Arabidopsis thaliana: one gene and its partners. The protein of the gene in region 2 interacts with the protein of the main gene of each other region in a pairwise test. Each region holds a gene or a part of one and is shown on either strand. Other genes may lie near its edges. The genes, in order: WRKY33, CAMBP25 and WRKY51.

Evidence for each region.
Region 1: the proteins of CAMBP25 (region 2) and WRKY33 interact in a two-hybrid assay, tested with the Arabidopsis thaliana proteins (one study listed by BioGRID).
Region 3: the proteins of CAMBP25 (region 2) and WRKY51 interact in a two-hybrid assay, tested with the Arabidopsis thaliana proteins (one study listed by BioGRID).

The regions. Positions count from the first base shown.
Region 1 is NC_003071.7:16,106,591-16,110,350, forward strand, and holds the start of WRKY33 (WRKY DNA-binding protein 33), read left to right. Parts: upstream 1-1,644; 5' UTR 1,645-1,885; coding exon 1,886-2,128; exon of another isoform or gene 2,129-2,377; coding exon 2,378-2,584; intron 2,585-2,653; coding exon 2,654-3,186; intron 3,187-3,276; coding exon 3,277-3,438; intron 3,439-3,534; coding exon 3,535-3,760. Other genes in the region: AT2G38465 (uncharacterized protein), read right to left, coding at 92-220.
Region 2 is NC_003071.7:17,113,337-17,117,096, forward strand, and holds CAMBP25 (calmodulin (CAM)-binding protein of 25 kDa), read right to left. Parts: upstream 1,712-3,760; 5' UTR 1,396-1,711; coding exon 679-1,395; 3' UTR 462-678; downstream 1-461. UniProt on the Arabidopsis thaliana protein: Calmodulin-binding protein that functions as a negative regulator of osmotic stress tolerance.
Region 3 is NC_003076.8:25,906,126-25,909,885, reverse strand, and holds WRKY51 (WRKY DNA-binding protein 51), read right to left. Parts: upstream 1,640-3,760; 5' UTR 1,472-1,639; coding exon 1,230-1,471; intron 1,123-1,229; coding exon 976-1,122; intron 395-975; coding exon 199-394; 3' UTR 5-198; downstream 1-4. Other genes in the region: CLE21 (CLAVATA3/ESR-RELATED 21), read right to left, coding at 3,483-3,760. UniProt on the Arabidopsis thaliana protein: Transcription factor. Interacts specifically with the W box (5'-(T)TGAC[CT]-3'), a frequently occurring elicitor-responsive cis-acting element. Involved in defense responses.

The DNA of each region.
Region 1 (3,760 bases), 1.0 Mb from region 2:
AAATACGTCAAGTGATCATTGATTCAAGAAGACCCATGAGTCTCTGATCCGCTTGTTTCAGTGGCTCGAAACAAGACTCTTGTATACGCACCTGGCCAACAAAAAAGGCTTTGACATAGCTAAACCCTTCCTGGCATGTTACTGCCATGGATAAACAGTTAGTCTTCACTCGATCGGACAAAGACTTCGCCGGCTGTCGTGATGTCTCGGCGTCTTGCATCGCTGCTTTTTCGAGATAGATAGATTGCTTGAAACTTGAAAGCAAGACTAGGAAATATCTCACTTTCTTGTGCCAATGATGATTTTTTTTAACTATTAATGATTCTGGAAGCAACTCTTGCCACGTCTGTTTTACGTGTTAGCTGTAGAGATACCGACGTGTATTAAAGCAAGAGGCTATTTTACTTTGGGCCTTTTGGGCTTTTGGGCTGAAGAAAGAAACTGTCATCGGATCAACAAACACTGCATAGTTTGCAACTTGCACGGTAAAGCGACACAAAATCCATGACGTTTAATTTAGGTTCCACGTGAAGAACCATACCACATATCGTGCAATAAGAAACTGATCACTTTTATATACCTAAACGATTTACAATTTACACTACTATGCTTGACACGATATGTAATTTTTTTTTTTTTGCCAAAGGGTGTTGTTATTGATATTAAACATTGTACAATACAACGTACATAGACTGTTTATATAAAACAAGGACGTCTAGATAAAAAAAGCAAATAACAAATATTACAAGACTAGTTAAGGAAACAACAAACTGAGTAAGGTTTTATGTACAAAACAGAGACGACTACCAAAGAAGAGGGCCAGACGTGGTAGCAGTGATGGAAGACAAACATCCTGACATCTCAATAAGAACATTTATGGCTACTTCAAATACATATATACACAATATGTAATTCTCTTATTACATTTATGGCTACTTCAAATACATATATACAAAAAAAAAAGGCCTACCTTCGACAGAAGTTATACCAATTTATTGATCGGAAGCTACAAAATGTTATCTAGGGTCAATTTGTAGCCTATCTCTATATCAAAACCGATACGGATACAAAATAGTTTGATAATCATAGAATTTAACATTCTAATAAATATTTGTTTCTAGTATTCTTTAAATGAATAATCTTGTGTTCAATTAGTCTATTCATAGTAGAATTAAGTCTCCTAAAAAATAGATTGAAACCAAAAACAGCCGCACATGGATTTAATATCGACTTTAGTTAGGAGGTTTTGCTAAAAATAGTAAAATACTCACAAACTCACTTCTAAATACTAATCTTTTACACTCATGTCATGTGCTTTAAAGATATGAGAGAACCTTTCCTAGTACACCTACAGTCAAAATTTTCAAGATTCCGAAATTTTCTAGGTTTTTTGAGCAAGAGCCAAGAATCCCAAATGTTTGAATTTGTATTTTTGATCCAAAAATACTACAACATCGTATAAAGAATAAATCATACGTGTCAGAACGAGACATATGAAGATGATGAAAGCATTGAGCCGCCCCTCAAAAAATCCGTTCAACGTTTGAGAGTCAAGGCCACAAGGTCTGACCAATCTATCTCTTCTCCTTCTTCTTCTAATCATATTTTCAACGGTCAAACTTTTTATCACCTTCTCAGAAACTACTCTTCTTCATATGTGACCCTAAAAATAAAAACGAACAATTAAACAAAATTTTAAAATAATATAATATTCACCAATCAGACGTGCAATATGTTTTATATATTCAGACATAACCAACAAATATACAGAAACAAGAAGAAGAACAAGAACCATCACTTCTCTCATTTTCTTCTTCTCCAAGCCCCCCTCCTTTCTATATATATCTGAAATTGGTCTTTTATAAAACAAACTTCCATTTTTCGTATGGCTGCTTCTTTTCTTACAATGGACAATAGCAGAACCAGACAAAACATGAATGGTTCTGCTAATTGGTCACAACAATCCGGAAGAACATCTACTTCCTCTTTGGAAGATCTTGAGATACCAAAGTTCAGATCTTTTGCTCCTTCTTCAATCTCTATCTCTCCTTCTCTTGTCTCTCCTTCCACTTGTTTCAGTCCCTCTCTTTTTCTCGATTCCCCTGCTTTTGTCTCCTCCTCTGCTAACGTAAGCCTCTCTGTTTTTTTTCTCTGTTTCTTTTGAAATGAATCCAATTAGTGATGATAATCTGTGTTTGATGTATCATTGATTTAACATCTTGACAATGAATCGTGATCGGAAGTGATAAAGTTATGGGTCAACGGTTTCAAAGAGAGAGAAAGACTTTTAGAGTCAACTCTCGACTCTTTCTTAATTATGTTATTGCTATTTGTCTCTTTTCTTGAAGTCTGAACAATTCTTGGGATTGTTTTGCAGGTTCTAGCTTCTCCAACCACAGGAGCTTTAATCACAAACGTAACTAACCAGAAAGGTATAAATGAAGGAGACAAGAGCAACAACAACAACTTTAACTTATTCGATTTCTCATTCCACACACAATCATCAGGAGTTTCTGCTCCGACCACAACTACAACTACAACTACAACTACAACAACAACAAACAGTTCTATCTTTCAATCTCAGGTATGTACTTCATCAACAGCTCAAATCCTCTGTTTATGAGTTTTTCTATAACTTTGTTTTGAGTTTCAGGAACAACAGAAGAAGAACCAGTCAGAACAATGGAGCCAAACCGAGACTCGTCCAAACAATCAAGCTGTATCTTACAATGGAAGAGAGCAAAGGAAAGGAGAGGATGGTTACAATTGGAGAAAGTACGGACAAAAACAGGTGAAAGGAAGTGAGAATCCTCGGAGTTACTATAAGTGTACTTTCCCTAATTGTCCAACGAAGAAGAAAGTGGAGAGATCTTTGGAAGGTCAGATCACAGAGATTGTGTATAAAGGAAGCCACAACCATCCTAAACCTCAGTCTACTAGAAGATCTTCTTCGTCTTCTTCGACTTTTCATTCAGCTGTGTACAATGCCAGTTTGGATCATAATCGTCAAGCTTCTTCTGATCAGCCTAATTCCAATAATAGCTTTCATCAGTCTGATTCCTTTGGGATGCAACAAGAGGATAATACTACTTCTGATTCTGTTGGTGACGATGAGTTCGAACAAGGCTCATCGATTGTCAGCAGAGACGAAGAAGATTGTGGGAGTGAACCTGAAGCAAAGAGATGGTACAGATCATCATCACCCTCCAAATTTGCTACTCTTTGAACAATCTTGAATATGAAAGTTCTAAAATGTATGTTTTTTTGTGTTTTCAGGAAAGGGGACAATGAAACAAATGGTGGGAATGGTGGTGGAAGCAAGACAGTGAGAGAGCCGAGAATCGTAGTGCAGACAACGAGTGATATTGACATTCTTGACGACGGTTACAGATGGAGAAAATACGGCCAGAAAGTCGTTAAGGGAAACCCAAATCCAAGGTAATAACATAAACAATTGTGCATCTCAATAACTCAGAATTAAGGTTCTTGAGAATCTGACCTTTTGTTTTCTTTTCATTTGCTGAATCTTAACAGAAGCTACTACAAGTGCACAACCATCGGTTGTCCAGTGAGGAAACATGTGGAGAGAGCATCACACGACATGAGAGCAGTAATCACAACCTACGAAGGGAAACACAACCACGATGTTCCTGCAGCTCGTGGTAGCGGTTACGCCACAAACAGAGCACCACAGGATTCGTCTTCAGTCCCGATTAGACCAGCTGCTATTGCTGGTCACTCCAACTACACTACTTCTTCT
Region 2 (3,760 bases):
CTTTTATAGATTTCACTCTCTTAGACAGGAGATGTGAAAATGTAAGTAAATTTATCAAAAATGAACCATGAGAAGTTGAAAACCCTAATTTATCATGAAGTGTAATAGATAGGTTTTTATGTTCTTGTAACAAATATTCATCTCTCCAGATAATAATCGATTATGAGAGAAGTCCTAGTACACGCAATTGTATTTGAATGCATAATGGGCAAGCAGAGATGGGATGTTGTAATAAAACAAAAACTTATTTTGGCTTTGTATCAGTAATGGAGACATTATTGTATTAGTGGTCGTAACGTATTTGATTGTCTTAATAGAAAAGATGCTGACATGATATTTACCCTCCTCCCTTAAAAAATATATTATGATTATTATATAGTTCTTCTCTATTTTCAACGGTGAGAAGACTCCAACGCTAATGCGCATTATCAACTTTAGCTTCAGTTTCCTTTACCAACTAACCCCAACTTAGAATTTTGTATTATCTCATTCGATTAGCTGAATATTTTTAATAGATAGATTTGTGACTTATCCTCTAAATAGTTTTAAAGTCAAAAGAACTCAGATTTGATCCATTACATCGATAAACAAAAACTATGAACAAGATTATTCATGAAGGGATGCAAAGAAAACAAACCTAAAAAGTTAAAGATTACGTCTAAGACTGAAAGAAACAGATCACATAACCTTCCACGATTCAAGCGTTGGAAATGTTGGGTAATTATCAAACTCCACGGCAGAACCACCGGGGTCGGCCGTTGCACTTGGCTTCCCCGACGGTAATCCTACACTGCTGCTGTTACCGGAGAAAGCATTTCCCACTGCGAGATTCTCCTGGTGATGATTAGACAAAAATGCTGATGTGTCGAGCATTGGAACCGCCGTGGATCGATCCGAAGGACCACAAGGCAGTTTGTTAACGAACCTAAGCGGCTCCGGCTTGACAATCGGATCGAAAATACCAAAGGAAGAAGAGTCATCGATGTACTTGGCGCCAGTCACTTGCTGAACCATCTGACGAAAGTTGGACGGATCCGCCGTTATGAAAGTAGTCTGAGATTTCTTGGAAGCACGAGCGCGGCGCTTGGCGGCTTTACCGTCGGTAAGAAGGCAGTTACGTTTCCGTTTAGCTCCTCCGCCGATGATTTCTGGATCAGAAGCACCGGAGACGGTAGAGGAGAGTGTGTTAGTGGAAGAAGGGTGAGAAACAGCGGAGGAATCGAAGAAAGCAGAGGAAGGAGTGAGAGTATGAGGGGCTGTGACGGTGGTATGGAGAGCTCTTGCGAGCAAATCGTTGTCGTGAGAGAAGGTATCAGAAAGCAACCATGAATCAACGTTGAAACCTTGGCGATATAACCAAGAATCAACGCTTGCTAATCCCTCCGAAGTCACCATAACCGGTGAAGAAGATGGTCGCTGGGTTTCTGAAAGGAGAAGAAGAAGAAGTTAGAGAAAGAAAGAGAGAGGTGAGAAATGAAAAATGGGGCCGAGGAAGTTTATATAAGGACGGCGAGAAGCGATGGAAACCGCGTTGAGCGGAGATTGAAAGGGACACGTGTCACAGCTTACTCGTACGGAACTTTTATTCAGCTAACGAGTGAGAGATTATCATAAAACAAATTAGATTATTGAATTATGTCACAGATTTTTTTTTTTTTTGTTAAAGATGAATTATGTCAGACTTATACAAAATCGAATGGATAACATGTGGATAGTATGTATGTACTCTGTAACAAGCGAAAGAAATTTTTTTTTATTGCGTATATCCAATATTCAGACAATCTCCTTTGCAATATTGATTGATCCAATAAGAATATCTTCAACTTTTAGATACATCCTTTCTACGCGGTGAGACATGCAAATTAGCCCCAAAAAGAAAAAGAAAAATGAGGAAGGTCAATATCCAACGGCTGATGTTTACTTACTTAAACGCTTGTTGCTCTCAGTGGGACCAAAAGAGTTAGAGAAATAGAATCGGTCGTTTTCAGCTTCGGTCTTTCTTTTGTACCCTCCTATATCTTTCTGTATATCATACTCATAGTGGCTTTAACAAATATTTTAAACAATATATGAAGGTGATTTGCGTATTCTATTTTTTTTTTCATTTAGATAAGACGCTTACTCTAAGTTTTACATGGTGTTAAGTAAGTACAAGTTTGAGCTATAATTTTTAATACAAACCAAAATTAATAACTATGTTTAGGAGTTCAAAACTTCAAATTATATGCAATGAATTGGCTTATGTGAAGGGTCAAACAAAACAAATGTCAAAATTGATTATAACTTTATTTTAAAGACAACAAAAATGCGTTTATATGTATATTTTATCCTTTTATGACAATGATATTTTCATCCTTTTTATGGAGAAAAGTAAAAGAAAATTTTGAATATTGTTTATTTTTGTTTGCTTGTTTAAATAACACGAATATATATATATATATTCAAAATTCCAGGTAAGCCCAAAAGAACTAACTGTGTTAAATGAGTTTTTTTCAACGCGTTAATATGATTATACAGTTATAGAGTGAAGATGAACGCCATTCAAAGTAATCATAAAGACTGTTGAAATAGTTTTTTTTACAAGTTGTTTCACCACTCTCAACTGCATACAAGAAAAATGTTTTCAATAAAATGGATTTCTAGTTTAATCGACAAGTAAAACTAGATAAATGTAGTGCACACAATAGTTTTCTATATATTACAATGATTTAATTATTTTTCTTATGAAGATGATATTTTAACAGTTTACGTCTTTATAATGCCACGATAATAGCAAAATAAGTCTGCTATGGTCGAACGACGCTTAAGTAGCACATCAAAAACATAGTTTTTACAAGCCCATATATACTTTCTTCAAGTTGCAAAACATCCAACTGAATAAATGTACCAGCATACCAAAAAAATGATTCTTGAATTTCACCTGTCATATAACATTTTAAAAAGTTCACAACGCATACATGTACCACTCGCACTCAGCACACAAGATCTAAGATGTCAACTGTTGACTCACACGGTCACACCGTTTATTACGATTACTGATTTGTACGAGTCGTCGTCGTTTACAAAATGCAAAAAAACAATACCAATTCTTATATATATATAAAAGATTCAAAAATATAAAAGACAGGTGAAATAATTAATCAGATTGGTTTCCGCGACGTTTCTTTTGCATTTTAGTATTTTCGTGATATCAACTTTAGCACATTAACATTATACATTGACGAGACGACTCTCATGAGCTTCACTTGTTCATTCTTTAAAAAGACATATCTGGTACGTATATAAGAATTTGTTGGAAATTTCTATAATTTGTGGTCTTAAAGACTCAGATTAGTCAGAAAAAATAAATAAAGAAAATGTCTTTATTCTTATAGAAGAAGAACAAAGTCAAAAGCCGCCAACGGTGACGTGAGCATTTTTATACGATGTAATGATGATGGTATGATGACGAGACCGAACGGAAGCATGTGATGAAGGAAGAAGCGGTCGTGTGTGTGTGTCTTCTTCTTTCTTCTTTTCACCGAAAGCTTTTCTCTCATTACTTTATTTCCAATACATTACTGACTCTGACACTCCTCTCTTGTCTCCCATGTTTCTTCCTACTGCCTTGCTTCGGCTCTATAGCTTCTTCATTTGATCTCTTAATCCGAAAAGTAAAAATACATTGTTTTATCATTTAGTTTACATATAATTAAGTAAAGATCACAACTTGACGTTTGTTAACAATCCATTACTTCAAACTTTCCACAATAGTCTTGTA
Region 3 (3,760 bases), on a different chromosome or scaffold from region 2:
AATATACGCTTAAGATTTTATATCTAGTGAGTCAGTGACCTACAAAATGTACTCATAGCAATATACATACATTAAACATTTATAACCACGAAATAAGTAACTCCTTTATTATACACCTATCAAATTATACAAAGCATTGAGATTATAATATTAATATTGTTGGTATCTTACAATCTCAACGAGGATGAGAGATTTGGATTAAGATCGAAGAAGAGAGTGTTGGTTCCAGTTATCATGATCATAAGATAAAACCATTTCATTGTAATAGACATTAGAGAGACTCTCATGGTTATGGACTCCTTCATATGTTGTAATTACATAAGCTGCATCGTCACCATCTCTCTCTACCCTCTTCTTCACCGAGCAACCTTCACTTGAGCATTTGTAGTAATTCCTTTATATTATAAATTCATCCACCACATGTTAAATTGTAATCACTTTTATAATATATCGCACCAAGTTATATATATATATATATATATATATATATGTATGTATATATATAAGAATATCATTAACCAATTACAGAGTGTGTAAATTGCTTTCAAACCATGCTTTGAATGAAAGTGATATGTTTAGATGATGAATTCATTATATTTGTTTCTCTTATGATATATGAGTCAAAATAAATCTATACGATGACTGATTATCAACCATGGATTCATTGATCCATATACCACTAATCAATCAATTTTGCTATAGGAACCTTTTATATATTTGTATAAACAAAACACACATGCATGATGTATATAGAAGCTAAATTTTATTCCAAGTGGGTTGGTAGATAATACGGGTCCATTAAATAGTATTCAAATCACTATATGGTCTAGCTAGCTAGTGGCTATATATTCTATAACAACAGGATTACAAGATGGTTATAGAAAATTATCAAGCAACCATATGTTATGTTAAAAACAAGTACTAGTAAAACATATTAATTAGATCAAATGAGTAATTTGTAAATGAATAAGTTACCTCTTGTTAATGTTGTTTTTGACAGATTTCTTGCCATACTTCCTCCATTTAAAACCATCATCCATCACATCAATCTTCGATCTCGTTCTAAATGCAACTCGATGACCCGTCTCCTTCGTCTGATCACTCTCTTTACTTCCTCTATTACTACAATATTTATTATCAAAAAGATTAATGAATAAAACTATATATAATGAAATACTAATTGCTTGGTTAAGAATCTTGCCAACAATAATAATTAAAAAGGAACTCACGTTGATTCCTTTTTACTCAACGTTGTTGCGCTGCCGGATCCGCCGCTTTCCCCGGTAAATGTCTCCGACGAAACGATGCTTGTCGGAGATGAGATCTCTTCCTCGATTAATCCATTGTTACCTCCTTCATCTATGTCAAAGAACATCAAATTTGAGAAATCGTTGTTATCCATAAACGGATTAATAAAGTTTTCATCGGAGAAGTACGTAAAATTAGGGCTAGGGTTTTGAGAGATATTCATTTTTTTTTGTTTTTGAAATAGAAAAAAAAATAATTGAGAGAGAGAGAGAGAGAGGTTTAAAGCATCCAAGAACTAGAGCAAGTGAAGAAGAGAAGAGAAAGAGTTATAATGGTCAGTTATTTATATAAAAATGAAAATTATTGTAACAAGTTTTTGTTAAGAAAAGAGGATAATTAAGAGATAAAGATTATTAAACAACTACTACTTATGTCAAGCAATTTCAGGGTAGATACTAGGAAGGTGCTTCAATGCCACGTGTGAAAAAAGGAATATGATGATGACGTCATCTGTTATGACGTATGGACAGACGTTAATAAGGGTGGCGAAAAGTGAGCTTCCACTTAAAGTAATTGTTTTTTTGCTTGGGCTTTACGGGCCCATTTTAAGAGATTTTATCGTCTACATTAGGTAACGTTGATAATTGGATTTTGGTCTTTGGATCAACGGCTGAGGATTTAAGTTGTAAGTTTGCTTATGCTGCGTTTGAAGCAGACAGGACTTTACTTTACAGTGCACACCAAGACACAATAAGATTTGACTTATTGAATTATGTAAATGTAAATTATACTATTAAAGATATTGTCACAAACTTTATTGATTTCTTTTTGGCCTAACTTTTATTTAGCAAATCCTTCAAAATGGTTATCTCATCTGGTCTGGTGAATCCACATATATATATATATATATATATATATATATATATGCAGATCAATATGATTTCGAAAGTTATAAAATTCCGTCTGTTTTTTTACCAAAGATTAACTCTATTAATTAACTAGCTTATAATATTGTTAAAAATCTTATATAAACTATACTCCAATATTGATGGGAAACAGCAAATGCGTTTTTTAATGTTGGCAACATTTTATATATTTTATTTTTTCTTATTAGTCGTTTTTTGTTCTTCCAGAAGTTTTGGCACATTGCAATGTATCATCATACATATATGAATCGTTGACCCACACATATATCATATATGTATGACCAAGTTTTTTTGCTAAGTCTATTCTTAAGTCAACGATTCAAAATTTCAAAGTGGTCTTTTAATCTTGTCTTAAAAGGTAAGACGAAATTTCTTGGTGCCACTCTTAATTGTTTTTGTAACTACAATAATATTCTCTCTGTATTGTGTTAAAACAAACATAAAAACTAATTAACTGAGAATAAACACAGAAACATGTAGTGTGGCTCTGTTTTTAAGAAACACATGACTGGAATCATATAAATATTACCTATTTGAGTGATTTTACATGCAAATGATTAAAAGTTTAAAATCAGATAGTGTTAAAACTTAAACGTTTGCACAAAAAAATGTGTTTTAACTATGATTAACTAAAGTAATTAAGAAGAAGAAAAAGCAATAAAATATAGTATTTTTTAAAAAAGAGGCTAAAATATAAACTGAAAGACTGAAAAAGAAGGGCGGCTGGCCAAAAGTGAAGGAGTGTGTTAGTGTGGGGTTCTAATTGAAAGAACCCCTTTTTCAAGGGGAAAATCTGAAAAAATAAAAAATAATTACATATCTATATTTTAGTGAATTGCTTTGAAAGTGATATATGGACATTTATTAATGAACACCAACCACCTATCAGCTAAAACAGAAAAAAAAACAAAAAAAAAAGATGAGTTACAAGTTACTGACCTTTATATATACAACAATATACCTTATTAGTACGTAAAAAAGAATAATACTGTATTTTGTTAAAACAAATTACAATGACAAAAGAAAATTCACAAAAACGTACTTTTACTCAGTTTATTCTAACATATCACGATATTTTTTCGATTCCATTATTTCTGTTTGCCATATCGTTCCAGCAACTTTGAGCATACAAAATTTAAATGCTAGAAACAATTGAAATTTATCTCATACTATTTTAGAGTTTCCAACCCAACCTAATTAAAGACTATTAATCTTGAAAAGTAAACTAACTTATAACGATACATATATACACCAAACGAACAATTTACGAAGTCGAAGTATGTTGCATCTTTCTCAGTAGTCAGTACTCTACTTGTTGTGCAAAGGATTTGGACCTGTGGGGATAGATCGTTTCTCTTCTTCTTCCTCGTCGCCGTCCGTCTTTCTCCGAAATCTAGACGATCTTCGTCTAACTTTATTAAAATTTGACATCTCCGTGATCACAACCTTGTGATGATTCTTGTAGTATAGTGATCGAGCAACGCTCAAATTACGATTTCTTCCTGTAGTCATGAATCTTCCAGCTTGGATCGAACTTGAACGGGAGATAATGATTAATACTAACACTGTAAAGATTACAATGATTA